Regions from separate parts of the Mus musculus genome. Here all the other regions are reported to be linked to region 3. Evidence: microRNA targets listed by miRTarBase, many of them from high-throughput screens and not tested one by one. Region 3 holds a microRNA gene; each other region holds the end of a gene's coding sequence.

Region 1 (6,277 bases), not on the chromosome of region 3:
TACGTGGAGATTCCTGAACCCCAACAGTGCCCACACTGAATACATCTCCCTTCTTGCCTTTCACTATTCATTTGACTCTTTGAATTGGTGCGTGGAGGGTGGATGACTCAAACCCGGTTTGCTGGGAAACAGGCTGTGACCATAAGTCTGGCAACAAGAGGTTAATGCACATATTAGTTAGACAACTGTTCCTTAGGACACAGCACAACTGCACTGCAGTGAAATGAAAAACTCTGTGCTGCAAATAATTACAACATATGTATATAAGGTAAACATGTCCTCCCAAGTGTAGAACAAATTATAAAGCACTTGTATTGGGATATACAAATAACCAAAAAAAAATCTCATTTTAAAGACATATAGATGAACCATAAGCACATAATAAGGACATGATCGATCGTATTGGGTGTAGCAGTGCTGCCTTTCTTAGAGGCAGGGCTTCTCAGCGTAGCCCTGGCTGTCCTGGAGCTCCGTCTGTAGACCAGGCTGCCCTTCAACTACAGAGAACCATTACCTCCAAGCTCCGGGATTAAAGGCATACATACACTGCTACTGCCCAGCCAGATGGAGTTTCTTTTCAAGGAGATGCAAATTTTCAAACTCTATCATGGTGGGATAATATAGCTGAGTACATTAAAAAAAAACACTGATTCTACTTTTTTTTTTTTTTTTTTGGTGCCTGGCAGTAGAGCTATCTAGATCCCAAGTCAATTCATACTGAGGTTATCTTTAGGATATCTGTATGATATAATTTTCTATAATGAGTATGGATTGTCTGTGCCAAAACAATTTAAAACTAAGTAAGCCACGTCTTACTGAGGATCCAGTGTGATGAGCATCTTTTTACTGAAGTGGCAGAAATGTACAAGGGAGTGAACACTGTAAACAAGCCTCCATGCTAGGGCAAAGAATAAATAACAACCATTGGACAGCCACTAAAGTATCACTTCTTCACATTTCTGAGTATGAAATGAAAACAACATTGGCTAATGAAAAGACATCTAATAATCACTAGACCAGACAATCACTGATTCTCAAACTGTAGGACTCGGCCAAATAAAACACGACGAAAGCATTCCCAGTAGCCATCGTATAACAAGTGTGAATCACTAAACAGATCCTTTCAGTGAGCAGCATTTTATCTTCAAGAGACAGTTCATTTTACCATTAGCCAAATACATCAAAAATATATTAAGGCACTAAAATAAATACATACTACTACATTGTCAATGAATGGAAACATCATGAGGTTTGCTGAATGAGTCGTGATGAAGTACGGCTATTTTAGCTGTGATAGTGATAGTAATCTAACTCGTAAATTATGATGTGTGCAATCAGATATGTATTTCAATGTCTATCTCATCTGCAAAACAAGACAACGGACTATGACAATTCTGGAGCAATGACTTGGGTCAACCTGTATTCTACTCCTGAGATGTTCACTTACTTTAAATTTTGCTTCCCTTGGCAATTTATCCTTTCAAAATCAACCTGTAATAAGGAGTCTATATGCTAGCAACTTTATAACTTTTGAATTTTCAAGTAAAAAGATTTATCAGGTGATTATCTTTAAGGAAATCTTTGCAAACATTATTTACATTAACATTTTCACAGTTTTAAAAAATGCAACTTATTGCTGATGATTGTTCTTCCTAGTGGAACATTTCCCTGGCAAGTACTCTACACGGACACACAAGAACCCCCACTTTACCTTCCTAGTGGAACATTTCCCTGGCAAGTACTCTACACGGACACACAAGAACCCCCACTTTACCTTCCTAGTGGAACATTTCCCTGGCAAGTACTCTACATGGACACACAAGAACCCCCACTTTACCTTCTGGTTAGAGACTGGAGGCCTTATTTGTAGATACACAAGAAACATTCTTGTGAGAGGTTCCTCATAAAAATATGGAGAACCATTTGTCAATTATAACTATGTAAATAGAAAGGTTTCAGGATAGGCCTATATGAAACATTTCCATAGAGATTCCTGAACATATTAACAATCAAAAGTTTTTGCCTATATCTGAAAAATAAAACCATTGATTTTACTATCCCCTTTCTTGTTAATGAATTGTTTATATTGCTAAAAGGGACTCTGATAGTGTTGTGTAAATGTTATTGACAAATATTTAATTTTTCTATTATATACATGCTGATTTCATAGGTAAAGGGCAAAATAAAATGCTCTCTTTCATTCTCTATTACACAAAGCCCACCCAAAATACAGAAGTCTGGCATGGAAGCCTGGGAAGAAAGCATCTTTAAAACAGGATTGCACAAGGAAGGGCTGAAAGAAAGGACATCTAGTTATACACGCACACAGGCTCCCTCTTGTTCTTCCTGAGTCTTCCTTAAAGCCTCATTCACACTTTCCATCCTCCTGGGCGGATGGGAGGCAAGGCAGAGCCTGAGGAAACTGGGCAAGGGGATAAAGCTCAACCGCGGAAACCACTTGGGTGGAGCCATTCTCTGTCCTTGGTGAAGCATATGGGGCCGACTCGGGCGAGGGTAGAATTCCTGCATTTACACCAAATACCTACGAGTCACTCAAGGTTCCAAGTGCAGCTGTCACCCATCTCAGACAGTGACGCACAATGCTTGTGACAGGGGCAGGAAACAGACTCTCATTCTGTAGCCCAAGCTGGCCCTGACTTCACAGTAATCCTCCTGCCTCAGCCTCTCAAGGGCTTGTGATCAGTGTGAATTCCCATGTTTGGCCAGGACTCCCAAATGACCCCTTGTCAAACTGTCTTTTCTAATCATATAGTTAAATGTTTCTTTTTCATTCCCACAAATGGAGTGTTGTCTTCTAGAGACTATAAGCTAGGTGACACTGCATCACAGTGAATGTGAAACAGGTAAGAATCTTTTGTGGGTTTTTTGTTTTGTTTTTTTTTTTCGAGACAGGGTTTCTCTGTATAGCCCTGGCTGTCCTGGAACTCACTCTGTAGACCAGGCTGTCCTTGAACTCAGAAATCCGCCTGCCTCTGCCTCCAGAGCGCTGGGATTAAAGGCATGTACAACCACACCCAGCCAGGTGAGAATCTTTATCTTCATTGTTAGACATTACATTTTTGGAGAAAAGGAAATACAACACCACCTTTCTCTATAAATCTTTCCACTCGTTGAAAATTATTAGTTTAATATGCATGATATTTTGTCTGCGTGTATGTCTACGTATAACTTGAGTGCAGTGACCACAGAGGCCAGAAGAGGGAGTTGGATATCTTGTAGCAGAAGTTTCATATGGCTGTGCACTGCCATGTGTATGCTGGAAATTGAACCTGGATCTACAGCCAGGGCAGCCAGTGTTTTTTTGTTTGTTTGTTTGTTTGTTTTGCTTTTTGTTTGTTTTTCGAGAGAGGGTTTCTCTGTGTAGCCCTGGCTGTCCTGGAACTCACTTTGTAGACTGGCCTCACAAATCCACCTGCCTCTGCCTCCCGAGTGCTGGGATTAAAGGCGTGCGCCACCACCGCCTGGCGCAGCCAGTGTTCTTAACAGCTGAGCCATCTATGTCTCCGGGTGGGAAGGTTGTTACTATCAAGAGACAGGGTTTTGCTATGTCTCTTATGCTGACCAAACTCCTGGGCTCCTCTCCTCTCAGCTTGGTGTGAGCTAGAGCTAGGGCATACACCTGTGGGCAGTTTCAAAGTTCCTTTTAAATGAGTAAAGATTTGAAAACTTTTCTATAGTTTTTTCTAGACAGGGTTTCTCTGTGTAACCCTGGAAGTTAGTTAGCTCTGTAGGACAGGCTGTCCTTGAACTCAGAGATCCTCCTGCCTCTGCCTCCAAAGTGCTAGGATTAAACTAAAGGCCTGCTTTGCCACTACCACCACCCAGCTTTGAAGAATTTTTTTTGTGTGTGCTTTTACATTACAAATTGAAAGGATTTTTTTGTAGTGCTGGGATGGATTTAAACTAGTCTCATGTATGTATGGCAAATAATCCCTACCACTGAACTACATTCCCAGTCCATAAAATTACATGTAGAAGGTATAGAAAACTGTGTATATAGATTAGTATTGATATTATACTAAGCTACACAATTTTATTCCGAGAAGAGTCTACATCTTGGATACTGTTGCCAAATGAGTATTTGAGTATCTTTTGCCATCACAAGTAGAAACTGAAAAGCTCCGAGGATGAAGCACGGGCAATAACTACATTGATGCTTTTAATATGGCATGGATAATATTTTGATGTATTGCTATTTAAAAACTGAGATAGCTAACATTTATATAAATATCTGCTGTTTGGAGATAATATTTGAATGCTGATGCTGATTTAGCTAATTGAATACTCTGCTAATTTAGACCACATTAAGATTAATGACACAGCTATTTAATGTCATATTGGCTAACTAATATTTGAAAAATAGGTATTTTTTTCTGAATAGCCTGTTGAGAAAAATGCACTGACCCTGGCTTAGAGCCATGTCACTCTCCTAGCTTGTGACGACTGAACCCCCTCATAAGGGATTGAGAAGCCCTCAAACCGCAAGTTTAGTCACATTGACTTCTGTCTCCCACTCTGCATGTCTACTTGCAACCATCATTTTTCTCAGTCTCTCAAAAATAAAAACTATCAAAGTTTTCTAAAAGGCTCGGCAGTTTTTTGGAGTCTCTGAATGATTACAGCATTCTTCAAATCTGCTTCTTCCAATGTGAGCGTTTCATCCAGAAACCTGAGGAAAGGAAGAGCTGTTGCCAGGGCAAAGGGAGGGCTTCTCTGAGATCCTTGGTATTTTTCAATGAAGTCTTTGATGTGGCTCACCCTGCAAAATAGCACAAACTATTAATTTATAAAAATCCAAACTAATTTAAGGTGGCATCAACTTGAATAGTTATTTTGATTTGTTAAAATAGAGACTAGAGTGGCACATACCTTTAATCCCAGCACTCAGGAGGCAGAGGCAGGCAGATTTCTGAGTTCAAGGCCAGCCTGGTCTACAAAGTGAGTTCCAGGACAGCCAGGGCTACACAGAGAAACCCTGTCTTGAAAAACCAAAAGAAAAAAGAAAAAAAATAGAGACTAGAGAAAGTTGTTTTTATGATACAAATAGTTATTTGTTGTTGTTGTTGTTTTAGAAGGAGTGCTGGCATTACAGGCCAGTGCTGAGTTTACAGCTAGGTGACACCATACCCAGTTTATGTGGTGCTGGGGATCAAACCCAGGGCTTCACACACTGAGAAGGGCAGGTACTTAACATCTGTGCTCCACAGCTGCATCCCAAGTTCACTATCCTTTGTGAAGGAACCCAGAGGATCATGTATGCTGGCCAGGAACTCCTACTACTCAGAGTCCAAGTTCTAGGTTTTAAATTTGATGCACGTGTATGTGTGCACTCTACCAACTTAGCCCATAATCACTGCAATACTGAGTGTGGGGGCTAGAGAGATGGCTCAGCGACTAAAAGCGCTGCTTGCTCTTCCGAGTTTTGAGTTCAAATCCCAGCAACCACACAGTGGCTCACAGCCATCTATACAAGTATAATATATAAGCCACGTATACTTATATGCACAAAATAAATAAATAAATCTTTTTTTTAAAAAAGTCCACACACAGGGCACTTAAAACATTATAAAAAAAAGTCTGAATGTTCAAAATTATGTGTTCATCTTTTTATGTTTAAGGAGATTGCACATACCATCGATCAAAACTAAGATACCATTTTATAGAACATCAGTATTTTATTACTAGCTAAAATACTTGCTAGTCTATTATTCTGCCTGTGTGTGGATGGGTGGCCCTCTCCATCCACCTTTACTGAGGAATCCAGCTCAGTCGTCCAGGCTTGTGCCGCAGGTGCTTTTTACCTCTGTGCTGCCATCTTGCTGGCCCTACAAATATTCTAAAATAAAATGATGCCACAGTATTTTCCTTTCTTCTTCTTTCCCCCTTTCCTTTCCTTTTGCAGCGATGAGGATCAAACCCAGGACCTTGTGCAAGTTAGGTTAAGTGTTCTACCACTGAGCTACACCCCCAGGGCCTTGTGCATGTTAGGTAAATTCTACCACCAAGCTACACCCCAAGCCATCAAGAATATTTTCTTAACATTTGGAATTTCTGCTTTGTGTTTATTGAAACGGAGTCCTTTCAGACGTAATTTTGCAAGCATTTATCAAATCATGTTAAGTACTTCCACAAGGAAGTAACGTAAACACACCAAGTATGCTAAGATTTGAACACACTGAGACTTTTGTCTTTATTGAGACAGGGTCTCAACTGTTCAGCCTTGGCTGGCCTAGATCTCACTATGTTGACCAAACTG
Region 2 (6,277 bases), not on the chromosome of region 3:
GGTGACATCTTTGGGTTAGAGCAAGTGTCAGACCTGTCCCTTACCCTGACTCCAACCAACCTCTAAGTCTCTGATTACCAAGTTAGTCACCTGGCATTCTCTGGTCTAAAGCCAGTGGCCTCTTTTGTGTGTAGGTCCCCCTGATGTCCTCTTCACTACCCTGACCCTCCTCATACTGTTCCTCATCCAGGGTGGCAGTGCATCCGCTGGTCACAGCTGAGCAGAACCAAAGATGCTCACTGTATTAGTCCCACTACTCCTCAGTCCCTCCCGACACTAACGGTTCCCATTGGTTGGCAGCCTCCCTCCCACCCGTCCGTACTCCTCTCCGCTGTGCCTGGGATCCCTCCCATTAGTCTTCACTGCTCTGCTCCCAGTGTGGGCTGAGCTAGGCTGTGCATAGACCTCAGGGAGTCTCTGCCGCAGGAAGAGAGTCAGGATTGACAGGTAGGTGGCCTTGTGTTCAGCTGCAAAGGATACAGGCTGTCCTATTGTACAATCAGGTAGACATTTCCTTCTGTCGTATCATGAATGAGAATGCCCCCCTCCCATAGGCTCATATATTTGGATGCTTGGTCTCTTATCTGATTGAACTATATTGGATTAGGACGTGTGCAATAAGGTTTCAAAAGCCCATGCCAGGCCCAGTCTATCTGCCTGGCTCAGTCTGTCTGCCTCCTGCTTGTGGATCAGATGTAAACTCTCCACTATTGCCCCAGCTCCATGCCCGCCTACTACCATGCTTCTTGCCATGAAGCTTGCCTTCTGGAACTGTAAGCAAGCCTCCAATTAATGCTTTCTTTTATAAGTTGCTTTGGTTATGGTGTCTCTTCACAGCAATAGAAAGATAAATCTCTCTCCTCTCCCTCTCTCTCTCTCTCTCTCTCTCTCTGGTACTTTGAGACAGGGTTTCTCTGTGAGCCCTGAACTCAGAGATCCACCTGCCTCTGCCTCCCTCATGCTAGAATTAAAGGTGTGCGCCACCACGGTGCAGCATCCTCCTACTCTTGTTTGGTGCCTCTAGAAGCCTGGGAAGGGGTGCTTGAGCACAGTGACCGTGGCGGACTCAGGCAACGGGAAGCTTATTCTCAAACCTAGGGGTGAAGCACAGCAGGTTTGTGTGTTGTGCTGGGGCTCAGATTCAGGGCTGGAACCTGCTCAGAAGCAGAAGTGGTTCATGAGAATCAGCTTAGTGGCCTGGAGGGAAGGCTCAGCCGTCAAGAGTGCTTGCTGTTTTTCCAGAGGACCTAGTTCAGTTCCTAGCACATATCAGGCGGTTCGTAATTGCCTGTAACTCCAGCTCCAGGGGACCTGATGTCCTCTTCTGGCCTCTGACATAGGAGTTAGATCATTAAGACAGGTACTGAGCTGAACAGACAGAGTATGTTCAAAGGTCCACATTCTTCTTCAAGGGTCTCTTTTACCTATATCCCATGTCTTCCCATAAATTGCTCCGGTTCAGCGAAAAGTCTGCCCATGATTTCCATGTGTGTCAAAGGAGAAAGACTCTGGGAAGGGGTAGGTAGGGTGCAGGGTATCAAGAAAGACAAGGCATGGGCTAGAGAGATGGCTCAGCGGGTAAGAGCACTGACTGCTCTTCCAAAGGTCCTGAGTTCAATTCCCTGAAACCACATGGTGGCTCACAACCATCTGTAATGGGATCTGATGCTCCCTTCTGGTGTGTCTGAGAGAATCACTGTACTTGCATACATAAAATAAACAAGTAAATCTTTAAAAGAAAGAAAGGGCCGGGCATGGTGGCACACACCTTTAATCCCAGCACTTGGGAGGCAGAGGCAGGCAGATTTCTGAGTTTGAGGCCAGCCTGGTCTACAGAGTGAGTTCTAGGACAGCCAGGGCTACACAGAGAAACCCTGTCTCAAAAAACCAAAAAAAAAAAAAAAAAAAAAAAAGAAAGACAGACAGACAGACAAGGCAGGGAACAGACTTCTGAGCCAGGCCAGAGTCCTACCTCATCTGGGGATTCCTATGCCTACACTCAGGGGGGTAACAGTCTTCCATGAAAACAGTATTTCCTGAAGACGGGAAGAAAGTCAGAGTGGACCCAAACGTGGGTTTAATACATGTAGACTCTTACCTTCAACTTCCCCAAGTGTGGTGGACTCATCACCCATGACACCACCTCGCAGGCCCGGCAAAGGTCCAAGAAGACCCTGGGAGACGACACACACCAAGTTCCTTCCCCTAGAATATGTTCTCAGTTTTGCTGATTTTTTTTTTAAAGATTTATTTATTTATTTTATGTGAGTACACTGTAGCTGTCTTCAGACACACACTAGAAGAGTACATTGGATCCCATTACAGATGGTTGTGAGCCACCATGTGGTTGCTGGCAATTAAACTCAGGACCTCTGGAAGAGCAGTCAGTGCTCTTAACTACTGAGCTATCTCTCCAGCCCTGCTGATTTCTCTAGTTATAATTTTAGTTTTGTGTTCAGGAGACCAGATCTCATATAACCCACGCTGGCTCCAAATTAGTTAAGTATGTGAGACTCCTGATGGGTCAGCCCCAGTCTCCTGTAGACCTGGCTAGCCCTGAACTCAGAGATCTGGCACAGGCCACCACGCCCAGATTGCTTTTTGTCCCAGGACTGGCAAACTGGGCACGCTAAGATTAAAATGCTGTATCTGTCGAGAGGCTCCTCGATGGGTCATGGTGCAGAAGGCAACAAGTGACCAGGTAGGAATCCAGGAGATAGAAGGAGGGAGGGAGGGAGAGGGGGGCGGGGAAGGGAGGGAGAATGGAACCATCCACCTTTACAGTTAGCTCCTCCACGCTGGGACTGGCTCAGCCTATTCATGAGGGCAGAGCACTCTGGACCTAATCACCCCTAAGAGTCTGCCCACCTCTGGGTCAGGGAGATGGATCAATGGGTAAAGATGCCTGCTGTCCAAGCCTGACCATCTAAGTTCAATCCTAGGGACTCGGTTGGGAAAGGAGAGAATGGACTCCTGAAAGTTGTCAGTCAACTACATGAGTGCACTAGTGCCTGTACGTGTACACACACACACACATCTTTTTCTTTTCTTTTCTTTTCTTTTCTTTTCTTTTCTTTTCTTTTCTTTTCTCTTCTTTTTTAAAGGTCCCATCTAGGTTGGGCATGGTGGCACAAGCCTTTAATACCTGCACTCAGGGGAGAGGCAGGCAGATCTCTAAGTTCAAGTCTAAACCTAGTCTAAATAGTGAATTCCAGACTAGCCAAGGGTATACAGTGAGACTGTCTTCTTTTTTTTTTTTTTTAAAGTGGCTAGGTGGTGGTGGTGGTGGCACACGCCTTTAATTTCAGCTTGGGAGACAGAGGCAGGCAGATCTCTGAGTTCAGGGCTAGCCAGGTCTACAGATCAAGTTCCAGGATAACCAGGGCTAAACAGAAAAACCCTGTCTTGAAAAACAAAACAAAAAAATAAAAATAAGATAAATAAATAAAAACAAAAACGTCCCACCCCGCAGCAGTGTGACAACACACACACTATAGAAATATCACAAAAGAAAACATCTTTGGCATTAGTAACTTTATCTTATGCTTTTGGGAATCTGCTACTTAATTTATAGGGGTCTTACCATGCAACCCAGAAGAGTGTCACACTCATGATTCATCTGTCTTTGCCACCATTCCTTTGGGGCAACAGGTATGTACTTGGCTTAGTTTTTTTTTTTTTTCTTGTTCCTAATACAGATTTTGGGGTGGGGGTGGGGAAAACAAAAGAAGACATCTACCAACCTTATTTTAGCTAGTAAGGGGGGAAGGGATAATTTTCTTGAATTAGATAATAAAGATGTGTATCAGTGGTATCACAGCCGCGTAGGGTTCATAAGGCCCTAGGTTCAATCCGCAGTAATGAAACAGACGAACAAAAGATAAAGACAGAGGATCCCAAGAGACGGTGGTCTTGGCACTGGCCACACCCGCTGTCTCCAGGCCATTGGGTGGACAGGAGGGACACAGATTGAGTGGAAAAGCACAGCAGGTATAGGGCACGAGTGTGCCTCAAACCCTAGAGGACAAGTGTAGAGATGCTATAAAAAAGATCACTCTAGGGGCTGGAGAGAGAGCAGTCCCTGCTCCTGAGTTCAATTCCCAGCACCCGCATGATGGCTCACAACCATCTGTCCTGGGATCTGATGCCCTCTTCTGGTGTGTCTGAAGACAGCTACAGTGTACAGTGTAATATAATAAATAAATAAATCTTTGGGCCAGAGCAAGCAGGACCAGAGAGAAAAGAAAAAAAAAAGTTTCTGAAGACAGCTACAGTGTACTTACATATAATAAATAAATAAAAATCTTTAAATAAAAAAATCAGTCTATTGTAGAAGAAAAACCATATTTTTAATATTTATTCTTTTTTAAAAAGTTATAAATTTTAAATGGTTATTAAAGTTTTTTTTAAAAGGCTATCATTGTGAAATGTCACCAGTTTTCTTTTTCTTTCTTTTTTTTTTTTTTTTCGAGACAGGGTTTCTCTGTATAGCCCTGGCTGTCCTGGAACTCACTCTGTAGACCAGGCTGGCTTCGAACTCAGAAATCCGCCTGCCTCTGCCTCCCAAGTGCTGGGATTAAAGGCGTGCGCCGCCGCCCGGCATCACCAGTTCTTGAGTCCGATAGTTTTCTCACCCTGGCCCTTCACGTCTTACAGTTCATTCCGTTTTTCAGCAGCAAACGTCATCTGAAGTAAGAAGTCATGGGAGCAGCGCTGGGGAGACTCAGTGTTCCCTGTAGCGCCACCCGTGGGCAGGGCTAGAGGCTGCTAGGGCTCCTGTGTAGGACCTCAGGTGAATCTGTGGCTCCTTCCCGGCTCATCGGGCTTCCTTGTCTGTGGGCACCGCAGGCCCCGGAGCTCCGCTGCTCAGATGAACCTGCATGCTTGCCTTCATTCCAGTTTGATTCTAGTCAGCTCCCAGCTTCCTCCTCCGTGGAGTCTCAGAACCCAGGAGTGAAACTGCAAGAGCCCAGGACCCCACTGAGGTCAGACAGCTGCCAGAGCAGTCACCCCAATCCCTCTGCTACCTGACACCCCCAGGCCCAGCCTTTGGGTTCTTTCTCCTCAGCAGGCCACCCCTGTGGCCTGGGTACCTTCTCAAGGCTGGGACGATGTCCCACGCTGATAAATGTCATCCCCAGTTGCTGACCAATTCGGTAGAGCTCACTCTCTGCTTCCTCTGTCAGGGCACTGGTGGCTTCATCGAGCACTGACGAGCAGCATGTGGTGGCGAGAGATCACAGACTGCCCTTGCCCTCTCTGTCACTCCTCCAACCCATTCACCCTGGGATGTGGTGGACTGACAGGAGAGTCACGCCAAGATAGAGATCACACCTGTGAGCCTGGCTCAGATCTCACAGCTGCCTGCAGACAAATAACACTGTGCCCCAAGACTGTACAACCCAGGACTCTCAATTCATCCGAGGCTCTGTGCTCAGAAGTGTCCATACCTGCTACAATATGCATGTACATATTCCTGCCAGGCACAGCTCGGGGATGCCCGCTCATCTGTGGCAGAACCCAGGGAGCTACGATCACAAGCCCTCTAACTGAGGCTGCCTAACAAGTGCATTTACACTCTCAGGACTATGCCAAGGGGCCAAGCTCTGCTCATCACGGGTAGAGGACACAGGGAGGGATACCCAGTCATGTATAAGTGCACATATGTGTCCAGGCTGTGAACACATGCTACAAGTACTCATGAGTACACACAGCGCCTGGCATGTGCGCCCATGGTGTGCACCTCACCTGCATACTTGGGCTGCAGGTAGAAGAGACGGGCGAAGGAGAGTCTTTGCATCTCCCCTGGGGACAGGACATCATACCTAGAAAAAGCAATAATGATTGAGCCCTGAAAGGAGGTGACAGCTTGACTTTTGCCAAGAATATATCTTGAAAGAAGCAAGTTCGCTATAGAGATTGGCCCCAGGATAGAGGCCCTCCCTCTTAGTCACATGACGGGTGAGGCCCAACTCTACCCAAGATACGGATCCTGAACTGGTGGGGCAGCCCAACACCAGGAAGCTGGGGTCAGGAGCCATTGCGTCCTTTTACAGGGCTGCTGGACTCTGTAATGGACCCATGGGGGCGGGGGGGGGGGGGGGGGCGCTGCCTGGAATCGCTCATCCTTACCAGTTCCAATCCACCTGCTGGTCCAGACCTCCAGTCCTTGCCACCAAGCTGGACTGTAACAGACAGGGGTCACAGAGTCCACACAAGTGTCCAGTGTTTTCTGCAATCCTACCTCCCCACCTCAAACATTTCTGTGACAGACACG
Region 3 (6,277 bases):
TTAAGTAATGCTGTAGGAAACACCATTTAAAAATCTTTACTTTCTTTTTATAGCTTTAATTTTATTCAAAAATTACTTTGAAACTTTATTAACACTTTACAGACTGTTTACAATACTGTCAATATCATTATTTCCATAGAAAAGTATTCTCTTTACACTATCAATAATTATGTTTTTATGTTGCTTTAAATATATTTGTTGAGTAAATATTACACACACAAACTGACGAAGAATAATGTGCATTTAAAATTTTGATAGTTCTCTAATTTTTAAGGGCCATGCTGTTTGGAAGTAAAAGGAGAAGCTAAGAGAAAGGCCAGAAAAGGAACATCACTTTCACACAAACAGTGATGCATAAAAGGATGTTCCACAGTAGAGATGTAAAGCATGTTCTAAGACTGTGTTTCTTCTGAGGCTTAGGAATTACAAGGGTTACAATGCCTGTTACATGCACGTTTGGTGTGGATCGGAGTTAAACATGAAGGAGACTGATCACACGCTAACACTGTTATTTTGGGTGGTGTTGAGGACCTAACCTTGGTCCATGCCATCAGTTTTTAAGGCCATATGACTGCTGAAGTTGCAACTATCACATGCAAAGTGTGGGCAAAAGGTCCAAGAGAGGTTCTTCTCAGTTCAGCCAGTCCCTTTGTGCAGCTCTCCCCAATTTTGCTTAGAGTGTATCTTAGGTCAAATCTTAACAAAGGAAGAGGGCCTTATTTTGTGCAGAGCAAAGTTTGGTTAAAAGGGGATGAAACGAGCCAGGAGTGGTGGCACACGCCTGTAATCCCAGCACTCGGGAGGCAGAGGCAGGCGGATTTCTGAGTTCGAGGCCAGCCTGGTCTACAAAGTGAGTTCCAGGACAGCCAGGACTACACAGAGAAATCTTGTCTCGAAAAACCAAAAAAAAAAAAAAAAAAAAAAAAAAAAAGGGCATGAAACAGAAGATTAATGTCAGAATTGCACCTAGGTGCCTAGCAGTCCTTGGCCTGTCCCCTCCTTAGACATGACTGGCAGCAAGCTGACTAGGTTTACCATGGATCTGTTTTGGACTGACTATCCTTTTCTATCGGACAAGAAAAATAAGCATTTCTATGTTGCTAAGTTCTTGGCTTATTTGTAAGTCAAGTGTAGTGAAACCAAGTTGTAGTCAGTACAAGGGTCCCCTTCTCTTCCCAAAGCGGCATAACTTAAGAAGCCCTTTCCCTGAGAAGTACACCCTGTGCAATTACCAACCATAAGCCATGTTTAGCAGTCGGGTGCTGGGCTTGGGAAGACTCCAAGCTTATTACTTTTCATCACTAGCAAGACAGTCAATATGACCTGATGGCCATGATCTCTCCGAGCTGATTTGATTTGCATGGTCAAAATAATATCAAAACAAGTAGCATTTAAATTTGCATCATTGGTATCAAAGGGGGAAAACCCCATTTCCCCCCATGGGACATTCATGAAAAAAGGTGTCCTTCAAGCAGTCACTGTACTGGCACTGTTGCTGCCCAGTAAGGAGGTCGCTGCTTAGAATACTTCAACACAGTTCACTCAAATGACTCAAAGTCTCTTGCATAGTTTAGGTAAAACTTTGATTTATAATTTGAAACACTGTGATACTGTGGTTAAAATGGGCAGGAAATGTAAAATGACATGAGCTAATCCTAAGGGTAGGTTCTATAGTTAAACAGCAAAAGCTTTCAGAAATGCATTCATTGATGGTACAAAGGTAAAGTGGATATGAAGCCAGTGTTTGTGTGAACCTAACAGGGAAAATGTTCAGTTAACCTACGTTAGACCCTTGAGGATGTGTATTTCTAAGCATTATTAGATTTATTTTGGGCTTAAAAATATTTTACCAGTTGTGTGTGTGTGTCCACCAGTTTCTGTGGACCACTGTGTACAGAAGCCTGAGAAGGCTAGCAGATCCCCAGAACTGGAACTGTGAGACGCTGTGCTATGGAGGTGCTAGGAACTGAAAATGGATGGGTCCTCTGCAAGAGCAGGTATGTTAACTGCTAACTCTAGCTCCTTAGGATTTGTCTTTTCACATGTATGATGTTTGCAGGTATGGCTCTACATACGTATGGACACATGTGCACTTAGATTATCATCAGGAGTCTTCCTCAAGAACTCCACCGACTGCTCTCCAAACTCCCTCCCCTGAGTCCAAAGTTTGCTGATACAGCTAGTCTGGCTAGCCAGCTTGCTAGAAAGATCCCATTTTTGCCACCTGAGGGGTGGGACCACAGGCCACAGGCTGGCCACATACTCATTTGACTTTACATGGGTGCTGGGGATCCAAAACAGTCCTTCCACTTGCATAGCAACTTGGTTAAACCACTGAGCATATCCCCAACCCTCATTAATTTTATGTTTTAGGAGCCTGTTGCTACAGTACTTACAAAAATATCAGCTTGATCTTGTCCTGTATAAATCTATAGGCACTTGACTTACTGATTTCAAACACTTCATTCACACATAAAGCTAATACTTAAGAGATACATAATCAAGTACTTATCACACTGAAAGCTCTGAGAAGCTCTGTAGTGAATATTTGTTTAACTCTGATTCTGCTATTCTGGTAAATTATTATAGTCTAATTATGACTTTAAGTAAAGCCAAGAGAGGGACACAACGGAGGCAAATGGCTTCCAAGAATCCTGAAGCCGTCGTGAGTTCTTTCAAAAGGCGCTGTTTGCTTATCAATGTAACATTTCCATGTTTCAAACAGAGAACCTCATCAAGCCAGTTTGCTTTTATGGTGATGTCTCTGATGCTGAAAGAGACCAGACTTCTGCCTGAAGGCTTCATTGCATTCACTGCACTTGTAGGGTTTTTCTTCATTGTGGATTCTAACATGCTGATCTAAGTGTGAATTTAGGCGGAAAGCTTTCTGACACACATTACATTTGAAAGGTTTTTCTCCAGTGTGAATCCTATGATGTCGAATAAGGTCGGAGGTCAAGCTGAAGGCTTTCCCACACTCATTACAGTGATGTCTTTTGGAACGACCATGGACTCTCTGATGGTGGGTGAGGAGGAGGGCCCGACTAAAGGTTTTCCCACACTCCTTGCATTCTCGGGGCTCATCCTGACTGTGAATTTTTTGGTGTCGATTAAGATGAGAGCTTCGCCTGAAGTTCTTTCCACAATGGATACACAGATAGGGTTTTTCTCCAGTATGGATCCTGAGATGCTCCAAAAGACCTGCATTCTGGCTAAAGACTTTTCCACACTCTTTGCACTGGTAAGGCTTCTCCCCAAGATGGATTTTCTGATGTCTGATGAGGTGTGAACTTCTCTGAAAGACTTTCCCACACTCTTGGCAGGGATGACCTTTGTCTTTAGAGATTTCCTGATGGTCAGCAGCAACAGAACTCTGAGATCCTACAGATTCCCAGGACATTTCTCCTGTATGTGCCCTGTCATGTTCAATCAGGCCTGAGTTCTGAACAAGTCTCTCCTTAGTTTCCAAGCATTGGCTGTTAGTTTTTTCCTTGGGCATGGCTGGATTCTTTTTCAAGCTCAGGTCCTCACACTGGGCCTCAATGGGTTCAGTCATGGTACAAGATGATTCCATTCTTCCACAAGAGTCTGTCCCTGCAATGAGATTCCCATTCTCACTCCTTGTCTCTTTACCTGAAATAGTAAATATATATATCACTAATTATTTTATTTTTGGTGTTCAGGGAAAGGAATCTGCAAATAGCAGGAAATACTTAAATAAAGCCATGTGTATAAATGTAAAAACATGTTATGTGTGTTTTATTTGCATGTATGCATGTACACAACATGCATGCAGTGCCAAGGAAACCGTAAGAGGCTGTCCAGTTCCCGGAAACTGGAGTTACAGAATGTTGTGAGCTGCAATGTAGTTGACAGGAACTGAAACCAGATCCTCTGTAAAAGTTTTCTTAAGAGATGAGATCGCTTCAATCCTCACAAAGTAAAAAAACAACAACAAAATTTTGCTCATGATTATTTTATATATATATAAAGAGTGATTTACAAGAAACTGTGGTTTTGTTTGTTTTTTTTGAGGTAAGTTTTCACTATGCAGAATAACATGGCCTAACCTAATCCTCTCCTCTCAGGTCCCACAGTTACAGCACCACCACGTCCAGCCTGACATCTGGGAAAGTGTTAACCAGATTGGCTTTGGGGAAGGGCAGGGGTTGTGGTGGGAGGTGATTTATTTTAAATGTTCTATATTTTATTATGTGACATATGTTACACACACAGAAGCTACTAAGCATGACTGCATATTCTTGATCATGATTTGTCACCTGGGAAACAAAAAAGCACCATAAATCAGGTCACCCGAGGACCATCAAGTTAAGCAGGGAAGGTACTTTGACAAATGAAGATGAGTTGACATGGTGCCAATTTTATCACTGAGTAGTATGTAATCTTGGAAAAAGTGTTTACGTTCTTAACAATAAATCAACAGTACCGGGAGCATAAGACCTTGAGAATAATGCATTCACAAAAACATCATGTTGAAATATGATTTGTTCCCCTCAGAGGGGATCTATAGCAGATTCAGGGCACAAAACAAAACTTGGCTCTTTAACTATGGAAAGAGAGAAAGAAGCCAGAAACTGGAAGCTAACTTCCCGTGAGCGAGCAGGCGAGGACACTGACCCAGACAGTGAGTGAATGGGGAGCCTGGAGCAGGGGATAGAATGAATGAGGCAGGAGGGAGCCAGAAGAGAGAAACAGGAAGGGGAAATGGAAACAAACAGGCCAACAGAGTGCGGGTGAGTGGGAGGCGCAGCACAATTCGCTATTGCCTGAGGAGAGCGAAAGCTCTATCTCTCGGTTCCTCTTCCCAATGTGGCCACAGTACTTCATGTGAAAAAACAGAATAGCATTTCCCAGTTCACTAAGGGATCTAAGCAAGGAGAGACATCTATACATTCGTATTTAAGTGACAGAGAAGACTACAACATAACTTAGTGAAAGCATCAAAGACATTAGAGAGTTCAAGGCCAGCTGATCTACATAGTTGTAGTTGAGATCAATCAGAGCTGCACAGGAAGACCCTGTGTCAAAAAAAAAAAAAAAAAAAAAAAAAGAAGGGGGTGGGGAGGGGAGGGAGGGGAGAGAGAGAGAGAGAGAGAGAGAGAGAGAGAGAGAGAGACTGAGACTAAAAGTAAGAAATAGAACAGTAACAAAGCAGAGCCAAAGAAACTGATTAACACCCCACCCTCAGCACTGCCATTCACAGTGATTTGAAGGAGCTAGGAAAGGGAATAAGGAAACTCTGTCTGAGACTTTTTTGCCTCAGGGAAGAGCAACAGGTAGGCTCAGCTCCACTTCTTGGTGTGTTGTTCATTCAAATTGTTTGGAGTTGTAGATCTTTTAAATCTTGACTGTGTTACTAAGTTTATTGTATATACAAAAACAAACAAAACAACAACAACAACAAAACAAAAACCTGCACTGACTAGAGAGGCTACAGTTTAGATTATGTATACAAATTAAGCCACAACAGGCCTAATAAAAACAAATACCAAAATGCCGAGTGCCAAGGCAGAGGCACTGCATGGCCTACCATAATTCAAATGCAAAAAGATGCCATTTGGTTCTTACCTCTCTCCTCAGGCTTCTGAGGAAGCGCACACCCAGGCTGCTCCCGTGCTTCCCTGCGAGGGGCTGGCTCGCCAACCAGCACCGTTGGTCTGCTTCTTTGGGCTGAGTCCTAGAGATAAGTACAGATAATTAGGAAACCGGTTTACAAAAAAAACCACTTCAATGTCAGAAAAGAGAACAAAGAAACCTTTCAAGAGGCTAAGAAGAGGCAGAACGGAGAGCCTCCTTACACTTCAGCCTCACCGGGGATGGCAAGGGTGAGGCGAGGCCCACACTGACCAGCAGTGAGCAGTGCCCCGCCCGCTGCTGTGCTCATGTCCGCCTATGTGACCTGGGGGCTCACTTCTTACTTTCCTGCAAATGGGCACCTGCACCCCTTACCTTCTGCTCTCCTGCTTTTCCACGGTCCAGCTGCAAATCTTCCAGTATTCCCACCAGTTCCTCCCCAGTCTCTGGGTGGTGCTCGAGCACCTGGACCTGCAGATCTCTTGGCAGGATGGTCAGGAACTGCTCCAGTACCAGCAGCTCCAGGATCTGCTCCTTGCTGTGGGTCTCAGGCCGCAGCCACTGTCTGCAGAGCTCCCTGAGCCGGCGTAAAACCTCTCGAGGTCCAGTGCTTTCCTCATAGCGCAGCTGCCTGAACTGTTTGCACAATGGCTCCTGCCCAACGCCTTTTCTGTCCCCTTGA
Region 4 (6,277 bases), not on the chromosome of region 3:
CAGTTAATTATGAACTGTCCTGTGAGTGGTGGGATTGAACCTGGGTCCTCTGAAAGAGCTCTTAATTCCTGAGCCATCATTCCAGCCCCCCAAAGTCCTTAATTTTGACAGATACATTTAAAATACATATGAAGACTGAAGATTTGAGCATATGCCACAGCGGGGTTGTGTAACCTCTATGTGTTCGAGGCCAGCAGTCTACAAAACAAGTCCAGGACAACCAGGACTGTTACACAGAGAAACCCTGTATGGAAAAACAAAACAAAATAAAAATGTTGAGCATGTACATAGGTTACTCAACTGCTTACAACTCCAGTTTGCAGAGGGTAGGCAGGAGGGGAACCAATGCCAATTCTTTTTTCTGGAGTCTGTGGACAGCAGGAATACACATGGTGCACATTAAAGTAAATAATAAAAAGTTTAGCCGGGCAGTGGTGGCTCATGCCTTTAATCCCAGCACTTGGGAGGCAGAGGCAGGTGGATTTCTGAGTCCAAGGCCAGCCTGGTCTACAGAGTGAGTTTCAGGACAGCCAGGACTGCACAGAGAAACCCTGTCTCAAAAAACCAAAATAAGAAAAATTTTAGTGATGAGTTTTACTAAAATAAAAAAAATAAGCACATTTGAAAAGCATGTATTGCCAGGTAAGGGTGAACTCTGGTTATAGTTTGGACTAAATAGTGAAACTCAACCCAGCTCTGGCTTGAGAGTATCTCAAAAGCAAATAAACCCTGAAATTGGGACTGGATCAACCAACCTGATCAGTAACTTTCAGGCTACTGAGACACTGTCTTTATAAAAAAATAAATTAAAAAAAAAGGACTGACTGGACCAGAGGAATCACATGTGAGGTTATCCTGTGTCCTAAACACACACACACACACACACACACACACACACACACACACACACACACACACAGAGCCAGGGAGCAATCCAGCAAGCAGTTGCTCATTGGCTCTTTCTAGGACTTCCCTCAATAATAGATCATGACCGGAAATTATAAGCCAAAGTAACCCTTTCCTCCACAAGTGTTTAATCCCAGAAACAGAAAGCACATGTGAGTTTGACTACTTTGAGAAACCATAGCAGTGTGAGAATTTTAGAAATGGGCTAGAAAGATGGCTCAGTGGTTAAAAGCACTGACTGCTCTGCCAAAGGTCCCGAGTTCAAATCCCAGCAACCACATGGTGGCTTACAACCATCTGTAATGGAATCCGGTGCACTCTTCTAGTTTGTGTCATTTCCACAAAGGTAGCAGCCAGGATACAGGGAAAGAAGAGTCTGCAGCAAATCTCTCAAAGTCATGTCTTTCCCTCTCAAGGGAGACATTTTTCTCCAACTGAGCCCCACCTACTTTCCACCACTTACCAATAGTGCCACCTGCTGGACACAAGTCAAGCACTTGAAACTTGGAGAAACTTTACCCCACAAGTGTGTCCACATGATAGATTGAACCCAATCTTTGAGCATGCGCTACCACTGACCTATATCTGAGACCCTACTGTGACCTACCACCCTTTTCTTGAGACACGTTTCCACTGTATAGCTAGACAAGTCTGGAACTTGCTCACTCAGCCCAGGCTAATCTCAAGTAAGTACCATATACATCCCATTACTGAGTATGTGCCTGCCACAATACATGTGACATCAGCTCACCCCATCCACCTTTATATAGGTTTCATAGATGAAACTCAGGTGACTTGAGTGTAGTTTTTTTTTTTTTTTTTTTTCAATTTTTTATTAGGTATTTAGCTCATTTACATTTCCAATGCTATACCAAAAGTCCCCCTTACCCACCCACCCCCACTCCCCTACCCACCCACTCCCCCCCTTTGGCCCTGGCGTTCCCCTGTACCGGGGCACACAAAGTCTGCGTGTCCAATGGGTCTCTCTTTCCAGTGATGGCCGACTAGGCCATCTTTTGATACATATGCAGCTAGAGTCAAGAGCTCAGGGGTACTGGTTAGTTCATAATGTTGTTCCACCTATAGGGTTGAAGATCCCTTTAGCTCCTTGGGTACTTTCTCTAGCTCCTCCATTGGGAGCCCTGTGATCCATCCATTAGCTGACTGTGAGCATCCACTTCTGTGTTTGCTAGGCCCCGGCATAGTCTCACAAGAGACAGCTACATCTGGGTCCTTTCAGTAAAATCTTGCTAGTGTATGCAATGGTGTCAGCATTTGGAAGCTGATTATGGGGTGGATCCCTGGATATGGCAGTCTCTACATGGTCCATCCTTTCATCTCAGCTCCATACTTTGTTTCTGTAACTCCTTCCATGGGTGTTTTGTTCCCACTTCTAAGGAGGGGCATAGTGTCCACACTTCAGTCTTCATTTTTCTTGAGTTTCATGTGTTTAGGAAATTGTATCTTATATCGTGGGTATCCTAGGTTTTGGGCTAGTATCCACTTATCAGTGAGTACATATTGTGTGAGTTCCTTTGTGATTGTGTTACCTCACTCAGGATGATGCTCTCCAGGTCCATCCATTTGGCTAGGAATTTCATAAATTCATTCTTTTTAATAGCTGAGTAGTACTCCATTGTGTAGATGTACCACATTTTCTGTATCCATTCCTCTGTTGAGGGGCATCTGGGTTCTTTCCAGTTTCTGGCTATTATAAATAAGGCTGCTATGAACATAGTGGAGCATGTGTCCTTCTTACCAGTTGGGGCTTCTTCTGGATATATGCCCAGGAGAGGTATTGCTGGATCCTCCGGTAGTACTATGTCCAATTTTCTGAGGAACCGCCAGACTGATTTCCAGAGTGGTTGTACAAGCCTGCAATCCCACCAACAATGGAGGAGTGTTCCTCTTTCTCCACATCCTCGCCAGCATCTGCTGTCACCTGAATTTTTGATCTTAGCCATTCTCACTGGTGTGAGGTGGAATCTCAGGGTTGTTTTGATTTGCATTTCCCTGATGATTAAGGATGTTGAACATTTTTTCAGGTGCTTCTCTGCCATTCGGTATTCCTCAGGTGAGAATTCTTTGTTCAGTTCTGAGCCCCATTTTTTAAGGGGGTTATTTGATTTTCTGAGGTCCACCTTCTTGAGTTCTTTATATATGTTGGATATTAGTCCCCTATCTGATTTAGGATAGGTAAAGATCCTTTCCCAGTCTGTTGGTGGTCTTTTTGTCTTATAGACAGTGTCTTTTGCCTTGCAGAAACTTTGGAGTTTCATTAGGTCCCATTTGTCAATTCTCGATCTTACAGCACAAGCCATTGCTGTTCTGTTCAGGAATTTTTCCCCTGTGCCCATATCTTCAAGGCTTTTCCCCACTTTCTCCTCTATAAGTTTCAGTGTTTGAGTGTAGTTTTAAGTGCCTTTTAATCCGGGGACCCAGAAGGGCTACCAAACACCCCCCCCCACACACACACACACTATTGCTTCCCTTTTGCTTTAACCCCCTTTAGCTCCAGGACATGTCCTCCCCTGAGCTTCCCTTGAATCTTCAGATAAAGACACACAGCTTGTTACTTTACAACTTACCTTCTGGGCACAATTGCTGGGCACAGATATCTCCTGCCTGGAAAAGCATCCACTTAACCAATTATCACCATCTCTCCACCTGCCCTAAATTTAGTAACTAGTCCCACCGAGCCCCTATTAAACATCCTTGGCGGCTCCCCTGAGAGCTCACATGGTTGTTGTGTCCTTCTTCCTCTAAAACACAGCAGAAAGACACTTTCTCCTTCCCTGCATCTATCTGCCTTTTTTTCCTCCTGGGACCTGGGAAGTCCACCTATACCTTCTGTCCAGCAATTGGCCTCTAGCTTTCTTTACTGACAAATCAAGAACCAATTGGGGAACAGGACTTTAGCATCAGAACCACCCACTTCAGTGACCAAGTTTGTGTACAGTCTACAGGGTAGACTCCTGTTTGAGTGTTTGGCCCAAAGGGAGTGGCATTACTAGGAAGTGAAGCTATGCTGAAGGGTGTGCCACTGTGGGGGCAAGCTTTGAGGTCTAACTTGCTCAAGCTAGGCCTACCTTCCGCAGCCTTCGAATCAAGATGTTGAACTCTTGGCTTCTTTTCAAGCACCAGGTCTACCCACATGTGCCACCATGGTCTGCCATGACAATAATAGACTAAACCTCTGGACTGTAAGCCAGCCCCAATGAAATGTTGTCTTTTACAAGAGCTGCTATGGTCATGGTGTCTCTTCACAGCAATAAAACCCTAAGACATGTACCAAGTCTTTTTATTGACTGGCCATCAAATGGGCCTAATTAACATGGTGGAAAGTAGAATGACAGGGCTGTCACTCAGTCTCACAAGGACTCACTGATAGCCAGGATATGAATGTGACAGTAATGACACCCTGCTAAAACTGTCTTTTGAAGGGTATAATCGAGTTCATCCCTGGGTTCTTTTGTTTGTTTTTAAGACTTATTTATTTTATGTATGTGAGTACATTGTAGCTGTCCTCAGACACACCAGAAGAGGGCATCGGATCTCATTACAGGTGGTTGTGAGCCACCATGTGGTTGCTGGGAATTGAACTCAGGACCTCTGGAAGAGCAGTCAGTACTCTTAACTGTTGAGCCATCTCTCCAGCCCCATTCCTAGGTTTTGATACCAAAAATAAAGCGAAGGTAAACAAACAAACAAGCAAGCAAAAACCTACCTAGTGAAGCAGAATTACTTTTTCCACGTCACCAAGGTGAGGAGGGGAAGGAGGTGAACACGTGACTGGAGAGCAAGTTGCCCACCTAACTGCAGATCCCTGACCCCACCCTACCCAACCCCTTTTTTGTAGACAGGGTTTCTCTGTGTAGCCCTGGCTATCCGGGAACTCATTTTGTGGACCAGGCTGGCCTTGAATTCAGATAGACCTGCCTGTGCCTCCCAAGTGCCCCTATCACCCAGCTGTCCCCTCATAACGATCAATCCTCCGAGACTGTGGACCAGCCCACCACCAAGTAAAGAGCCAACCAAACAAGGCATAAGCAGGGTCACCCACAAGTAACAGATAAAAGTACTGACTCAGTAAACTGAAGAGGCTGAGCCCCCATGCCTCCTCTAGGTGTCTTTATTCTAGCTGGGGTGTGAAATACAGGTCAGAACAACATGACACGTCAAAGCCCTTCCATCAGCTTCAACAGGGAGGGTGCGTAGTGGGTGGATGGCAGTTCCAGACCAGCTTCTCCCAACAGCCTTGTAGTCCAGGCCAACTACCGGTGGTGCGCTCTGGGCAGGGAGGGGCAGGACCATGCAGTGCATATGGTGAGAAGGGACACGGAGGACCAGTCAGTAGGGCCGCGGCTGGAGTTATTCTAGTTTGGTGTCCCGCTGTTGCTTGATGAAGCTGATCAGTCCGTTAGTGGAGGAATCATGGGAGGTCACAGCAGAGCTGCCCTCCAGCTCCGGCTCAATTTTCTTGGCCAGCTGCTTCCCCAGCTCCACTCTGTCGGGGGAGGGTGGAAGAGGAGGATGAGCCAGCCACATTCCAGAGACAACCCAAAAGCACAACAGAGATTCCTCGGCAACTCACCCCCACTGGTCGAAGCTGTTGATGTCCCACATGATGCCCTGAACAAAGATCTTGTGCTCATACATGGCTGCAGAGGAAACAACAGACGGTGCCCGTTAGGGTCTCTCTCCTTCCTTCCTTCCCTTCCCCATCCAAGTGACCCCAAGCCAGCCAGCTCATCCTTCTTCTCCTCACTCACCAATCAAGGCCCCCAGAATGAAGGGTGTCAGCTTGGTAAACACAATAGAGTTGGTCGGGCGGTTTCCTTCAAAGACCTGCGGGAAACAAGAACTGTCCTCAGCGACGGGCAGAGGCTCCGGAGCACTTAGCCCTAAATGGGGTGTCTATATACATCCCTCCCCTCAAGGCTCTGGGGTCTCTGCAGAAGAGGAGCTGGAAAGATTCTAAGGGCAAAAGTGGTGGATGACTCCAAGGAGACATTGTCTTGAGGACCCAACAGGGCCAATGCACTTAGACCCTCACAGCCCAAATCCCACCACAGAGGAGGAAAAGCAGATACGAAGTCCCACCTCTAAGCTAGCTGCAAATAATAGCTGCCGGGAAACAATGACACTAGGTCTATGAACCATATTCCAGGACCAGAGTCACACCAAGGAAGAGCAGATCAACAGAAAACAGACTCCATGTTTTTATGATGTTGCTGTTATTCATTAACTTCTTATGCCTTTTGTTCTATCTATCTATCTATCTATCTATCTATCTATCTATCCATCCATCCATCCATCCATCCATCCATCCATCCATCCATCTATGGTTATTTATATATGCTTGATCTAG
Region 5 (6,277 bases), not on the chromosome of region 3:
CGAGGCCAGCCTGGTCTACAGAGTGAGTTCCAGGACAGCCAGGGCTACACAGAGAAAAACCCTGTCTGGAAACAAACTTTTTCTAAATATTAGTGCATACACAACACACATGTAGACATTAGAAGACAGCTTGTGGGAGCTGGTTCTGTTTTTCACTACATGGGTTCTGAGGCCTTGAACTTAAGTCTTCAGACTTGGTAGCAAGTCCCATTACTTGCTGCTCCATCTGGCCAGCCCCTTTACAGGCCTTCTTGTAAGATAGCAGATCTAGGCCACGCAGAGAGCCAGGGAGAACAAATGGGACGCGAGGGACGGAACCGAGACCAGAGGTTAAGGAAGGAAAGCCATGGAAGCTTCCGGAAGGAGTAAACTGAAAGAACGCCTCAGAAATCCTAGACAGAAGAGATGGCATAAAGGAGCTGGAGGAATTAGAGGTGAGGGGCTAGGGCATAGCTCGGTGGGGAAGTACTTGTCTGGTGTAAGGGTCTAGGTTTACTTAACTCTGGAGAGTCTATAGCTCTGACTGCTCTGAAACTGGCTATGGAGATCACTGGCCTCAGAGATCTGTCTACCTCTACCTAGTACATGCTGGAATAAAAGGTGTGTGCCACCATTTCTGGCCAGCACGTGATAGAGGCCTGATGCCCTGTGAGTCCAGCCCCTGAACCCAAAGGGCAAGCAAGTGCCTCTATGTCACTACCTGTGACCCCTCCACTATTTGCTGTTTCCCTTTAGTTGTATACATATACTGGTATTTTTCCACAGCTGTCACCAGCATTTCACAGGAGAAATCTGTGCAGCTGATCTGAGAGCTGGGGACATAGCTCAATTGGGAGAATGCTTACCTAACACACAGGAGGACCTGGGTTTGATTTTTGCACCATGTAAATAAGCAGAGCCTGATCATACAAACCTTGTTAATTCCAGCATTCAGGAAGCAGAGGACAGGCCTGAAAGTTCAAGGTCATTGTCTGCTATTTGTGTCTATGTGGGTGTGTGTTTCTGCATACACAACACACATGTAGACTTGAGAAGGCAGCTTGAGGCCAGCCTGGGTTAGGGACCTCTTAAAACTAAAAGAAAATTTGAAGGAACCAGAAAGATGCAGGTGAGTCATGTCTGCTGCAAAATAACTAGGCAGCTGCAGCTCGAGGAGGCCAGAGGCACTGAGTCCAGTCTCTGAACACAAAGGGCAAGCAAGCGCTTCCATGCCACCTGCTGTTCACTCCTCTCAACTTGCTCCTTCCCTTCAGTTGTGTACATCTAATGGAGTTCCACACAGCTGCCTCCCTGCATCTTCCATCCTGCTTGTCACATGGCCTTTCCCCCCAGCGGATATTAAGTGTACAAAAGAAAACCTCATAGGAATTACTGTGGACTTTGCAAACGTCCCCGGCTAACCCGTCTCTCCTCTTCCTCATCCTTATCTTCTTCCCTACCAGTCTGTCCCCTAATTATATGTTGTCTTTCTGTTCTGCAGTCTACACAAGAGAAAAACGATTAAATACCTGTCCTGGCTTGTTTTGCATAACAATATTTCAGTTCCATCAAATTTCCTACAAAGTAATTTCCTTTACAGATGACTATAATTCTAGTCGTATTCATGTGTGTGTGCGTGTATATTTTATCTTCTCTTCAGCTCATGGCCACCTAGGAAGATCACCAAAGCTGTGAATGACGGTGCAATAACTATGGATGTGTGAGCTCTCTCTGTGGTATGTTGGCTCCTTTAGGTGTATGCCCAGTAGTAGAGCTGGGTCATATGGTAGATTTGTTTTGAGTAACCTTTCTACTGATACATTCTCACCAGTACTGTAGGAGTCCCTCATCATTTGATGACAGCAATTTACACTTCAGAAAGACGGAATCCTGCTGTAATTTTGATTTGCTTTTCCCTGAGAGTGGAAGATATTCAACTTTGCCCCGCATTTTGTTTTCTTCAGACAGGATCTCATTATGTAGGCCTTGCAAAATGTATATATTATCCATGAGCTCACTGGTAGTGCAGCAGTCACAGTGACAAAACCAATCCAGTCTCTGGAAATTTTTGTGCCTCTATATGGCATATGACCCCCGGTAGAGACAATGCTTATCCCATCCATGGAAGGGTTTACACAGAATGTCAGAACCTGGGATCTTTCCCATACTTTCCCTCTCCTCAAATGAAAACTCATTTCTGAACATACTGTGGTCACCCTTAAAAAACAAATTGGAGCCAGGCGGTGGTGGCTCACGCCTTTAATCCCAGCACTTGGAAGGCAGAGGCAGGAGGATTTCTGAGTTCTAGGCCAGCCTGGTCTACAGAGTGAGTTCCAGGACAGCCAGGACTACACAGAGAAACCCTGTCTCAAAAACAAACAACCAAACCAAACCAAACCAAACCCTCTCCAAAACAACTGGGTTGCCAGTGGCTCGGTTGGTAAGGGCACTTGCCATTGAACCTTACTACCTGAATCTGATCCTGGAAACCAACAGAGCAGGAGGAGGGCTAACCCTGCACATGTTCATTGTGACATGTCTACCCGCACTCCCAATAAATGAGTCTATTTAAAAAGTCTGGGTGGAGCCGGGCATGGTGGCACATGCCTTTAATCCCAGCACTTGGGAGGCAGAGGCAGGTGGATCTCTGAGTTCGAGGCCAGCCTGGTCTACAAAGTGAGTTCTAGGACAGCCAGGGCTATACAGAGAAACCCTGTCTTGAAAAACCAAAAAAGGGCTGGAGAGATGGCTCAGTGGTTAAGAGCCCTTGCTGCTCTTCCAGAGGACCTGGGTTCAATTCCCAGCATCCACATGGTGGCTCACAACTGTCTGTAACTGCTGTTCCATAGATGAATGCAGGGAAAACACAAGTGCCCATAAAATAAAGATAGATAAGTCCTTTTTAAAAAAAAAAAAGAAAAAAAAAAAAAAGAAAAAAAGGTCTGGGCGGGGCAGTGGTGATGCATGGCACTCCGGAGGCTGAGAGAGGTGGCCAAGTGGATCTCTTGAGTTCAAGCTCAGGCAATAGAGCAAGTTCCAGGATGGTCAGAGCTACACAGAGAAACCAAGTCTCCAAAAACAAAACAAATCTTCAATTCTGGCACTTGGGAGACAAAAGGATGAGGATTTTGAAGTCAGTCTAGACAATAATACTGAGACCTTATTTTTATTTTGTTTTTGTTTTTTTTTTTTTGTTTTAAAGATTTATTATTATATGTAAGTACACTGTAGCTGTCTTTAGACACACCAGAGGAGTGCGTCAGATCTCATTATGGGTGGTTGTGAGCCACCATGTGGTCGCTGGGATTTGAACTCAGGACCTTTGGAAGAGCAGTCAGTGTTCTTACCCGCTGAGCCATCTCTCCAGCCCGAGACCTTATTTTTAAAAACAAACAAACAAATAAAAAGAAAACCACTGGTTCCCCATAGCAGTTAGGAATCTAAGGCAGGAAGATCAGTTCACAGGACAAGCCACTGTTATATAGCAAGTTGGAGGCCAGCCTGGGCTACTTGATACAAGTGAGACCCTGTCTTGAAAGACAAACAGCAAGCAAGGTGTGGAAGCATACCCCTTTAATCCCAGCACTTATCCACAGCCCATTCGCACCGCAACAGTCACAGTGGAAATTTCTATGCCTCTATATGCAACTGGACCCCAAGAGACAAGAGTTATCCCATCCACTTAAGGGTTTACACATGTCAGAACCTGGGAGCAGTCCATCTGGATAACAGAGAAGGCAGGCAGACCTCTGAGTTCGAGGCCACCCTGGCCTACAGAGTGAATTCCAGGACAGGCAGGGCTAAAAAGTGAGAGCCTGTCTCAAGAAAGAAACAGCAGAAGATAAAATGAAGTGGATAGGGATGAAGAGAAGATCTGAGTGGAGGTAGAGAAGGGAAAGATACTATCAAAATATATATGAAAATATGAAATAAAAATAATTTAAAATGTAATTAGTGACAGTAACAAAAAACAGCAAATGTAAAAAGATCTAGACATCAGCAAAGGAGAAAGTGACAGGGACGGAGTCTTCTTTTGACGCCTGGGCCTCCACCCCAGAGCTGTAATACGGCCACATGGACTTTTGTTTTCGAGACAGGGTTTCTCTGTGTAGCCCTGGCTGTCCTGGAACTCACTTTGTAGACCAGGCTGGCCTCGAACTCAGAAATCTGCCTGCCTCTGCCTCCCAAGTGCTGGGATTAAAGGCGTGCACCAGCACTGCCCAGCTTTTGCTCTTTCTTCTTTTTTTTTTTCTTTTTGGTTTGCTTTTGTTTTTCAAGACAGGGTTCTCTGAGTAACAGCCGTGGCTGTCCTGGGATAAGCTCTGTAGACTAGGCTGTCCTTCAGCTCACAGAGATCTGTGTGTCTCCGCTTCGGCCTCTGTGCTGCTCTGGGCTGGATTAAAGTGTGCACTACCACGCCCAGGGCAAAGGCTTTTCTCACGCGCCTGGTTTCCCATGCTCTCCACGGGGAGCCTGTACCAGGAGGGTCTGCAGTATGTTTGCACAGCATACACATGCTCCCAGCAATCCTTGTCCTTCTTTCCTGCGTGCACGAAGCATGTCTAGGCACCTAACCACGTTTATGCATGTGTCTAATTCATCTTTTTGACTATTCCCTCCCTTGCTCATTCATTTTGTAAACCTTTACTAGAGGTTGGGTGTGGTAGTATCATACAAGTTCAAGTTCAGTTTAGACAACACAGTGACACCCTGCTTCTTCTTTTTTTTTGTTTTTTGTTTTTGAGACAGGGTTTCTCTGTGTAGCCCTGGCTGTCCTGGAGCTCACTCTGTAGACCAGGCTGGCCTTGAACTCAGAAATCTGCCTGTCTCTGCCTCCCAAGTGCTGGGATTACAGGTGTGTGCCACCATGCCCAGCTGAGACCCTGCTTCTTTCTCCCACTTCCCAATACAAAAAACAAAACAAAACAAAAACCATCAAAACCCTTCAAACCCATTCACCATGAAATCTCAAGCCCTAGACTTTCCAAGCCCCTTCTGAGGAGAGAGAGGGCCATCTGGGTGACTGAAGGCAGACATACACAGACATTTCAAAACTGGCTTTAAACATTCATCAGGGTGCCACACGAGGGCTCTGGGGGTGAGAGAATTGTTACACGTATGAAGCTGGGATGCCCTAAGACACAAAAAGGGAACCCATATGACAAGGCTGCTGGGGTGTCCCCACCCCTACCACAAAACCAGAGAGTAGAATTGAGGCCCTCTGTGAAGGCCTCTCAGGGCTATGTAGGAGCCAGTCCTCCCTTGGAGGTAGATCATCCGGGAGGGAACTGAGGAGTGGCTCCCACGGTGGCGGGGGTCAGGCAGCGGCTTCCTCAGTGGTACTGCTGGTAGTTGGGATAACCTGGGGCCGGAGATCCCTCTTTCGGGGTTAGCTGGCTGGGGTCCTCCAAGAATGGGGGTGCTGGAGAAGGGAGAATGAGGTAATGAGGCGAGGAAGCATGGAGAGGGTTGACAGTGCTTCCTGACTCTCCCTGCCCACCGCCCACCAAGTTCTCACCATTTCGGAACTGCTGGGCAGTATAGCGGGTGAGAAGGATGCCAACACCCTCAATGAGGGCCAACAGGATGCCTCCCATCATCGCAGAGCCCACCATGGCCAGCGGACCACCTGGGAGGCGGAAAGACACACAGCTGAGGAAGGGCAGGCAGGACAGGGCAAGGACTGGGGTGAGAGGCTGGCGGCACTCACTGCGCGCAGCCAGCACAGCTCCAGTCAACGCTCCACTGCTGATGGAATTCCAGGGGTCTTCTTTGCCCCGTAGCCGGACCAGGCCACAGTCGATGGTGGAGAACAGACCTCCCCACACTGCAAAGCTTCCTGTAGGGGAAATAAGAGTCTGAATCACACAATCTGAGACTCCACGTAGCTCAACATCTGGAAACTTCCAAGGCCTGAAGACTGGCCAAGAAAGAGTGCTGGGACCGGAGATGTGGCTCTGTGGTAGATGCTTGCATAGGGTGATCCCCTCCCCCCACTAAACAAATAAATATGACCAGGATATAGTATGATGCCAGCACCTGGGAAGCTCAGGTAGGAGGACCGCAAAGGCTTAGACACCTATACAGTGGAGGCTGTCTCAAAAACAGGAGGCCATGGGGCACAACCTTAGCACCAAATACAAGAAGGAAGAAAGTCCAGCTATAGAACTAGGTATAGTCCATCTTTCTCACTGTGAAAGGTTCCACATCTGATTGGGGCTGTAGTTATTATCATCAAAATCCTTTCACTTTTTTTTTTCTCTCTCTCTCTTTTTTTTTTTTTTTTTTTGGTTTTTTG

The links. The annotated mature microRNA mmu-miR-1896 reads CUCUCUGAUGGUGGGUGAGGAG and lies in region 3 at 3,013-3,034, shown strand. An mRNA with a match to its seed (bases 2 to 7 or 8) in the 3' UTR can be bound and repressed. Matches are read on the target gene's strand: a 7mer-m8 pairs with bases 2 to 8, a 7mer-A1 pairs with bases 2 to 7 and ends in A, and an 8mer does both.
Region 1: miRTarBase lists Ubxn2a as a target of mmu-miR-1896. Seed matches in the 3' UTR shown: 7mer-A1 at 3,716-3,722, 7mer-A1 at 3,374-3,380, 7mer-A1 at 2,917-2,923 and 7mer-A1 at 2,472-2,478.
Region 2: miRTarBase lists Abcd4 as a target of mmu-miR-1896. Seed matches in the 3' UTR shown: 7mer-A1 at 4,480-4,486.
Region 4: miRTarBase lists Gpi1 as a target of mmu-miR-1896. Seed matches in the 3' UTR shown: 7mer-A1 at 4,773-4,779.
Region 5: the mRNA of Timm17b is a reported target of mmu-miR-1896. Seed matches in the 3' UTR shown: 7mer-A1 at 4,732-4,738 and 8mer at 4,264-4,271.

The regions. Positions count from the first base shown.
Region 1 is chr12:4,875,992-4,882,268 of GRCm38, forward strand. It overlaps Ubxn2a (UBX domain protein 2A), which reads right to left. Exons shown (of 7, transcript NM_145441.4): 7 at 823-4,780. The coding sequence ends at 4,591. Among named protein-coding and RNA genes, the nearest start is that of Mfsd2b, 4.8 kb to the left of the region's middle.
Region 2 is chr12:84,598,201-84,604,477 of GRCm38, forward strand. Abcd4 (ATP-binding cassette, sub-family D (ALD), member 4) reads right to left here. Exons shown (of 19, transcript NM_008992.2): 16 at 6,133-6,185; 17 at 5,749-5,825; 18 at 5,094-5,209; 19 at 4,331-4,959. The coding sequence ends at 4,891. Among named protein-coding and RNA genes, the nearest start is that of Abcd4, 16 kb to the right of the region's middle.
Region 3 is chr13:21,442,197-21,448,473 of GRCm38, forward strand. It overlaps Mir1896 (microRNA 1896), which reads left to right and starts at 2,964; the gene lies at 2,964-3,044. Zscan26 (zinc finger and SCAN domain containing 26) reads right to left here. Exons shown (of 6, transcript NM_001347491.1): 4 at 5,971-6,277; 5 at 5,590-5,698; 6 at 1-3,633. The coding sequence ends at 2,735. 4930470G03Rik (RIKEN cDNA 4930470G03 gene) reads left to right here. Exons shown (of 4, transcript NR_151504.1): 3 at 1,875-1,997; 4 at 2,726-4,634.
Region 4 is chr7:34,197,137-34,203,413 of GRCm38, forward strand. It overlaps Gpi1 (glucose-6-phosphate isomerase 1), which reads right to left. Exons shown (of 18, transcript NM_008155.4): 16 at 5,679-5,754; 17 at 5,501-5,567; 18 at 4,191-5,413. The coding sequence ends at 5,278. Among named protein-coding and RNA genes, the nearest start is that of Pdcd2l, 3.6 kb to the left of the region's middle.
Region 5 is chrX:7,905,612-7,911,888 of GRCm38, reverse strand. Timm17b (translocase of inner mitochondrial membrane 17b) reads right to left here. Exons shown (of 6, transcript NM_011591.5): 4 at 5,690-5,818; 5 at 5,498-5,608; 6 at 4,237-5,401. The coding sequence ends at 5,313. Among named protein-coding and RNA genes, the nearest start is that of Timm17b, 9.4 kb to the right of the region's middle.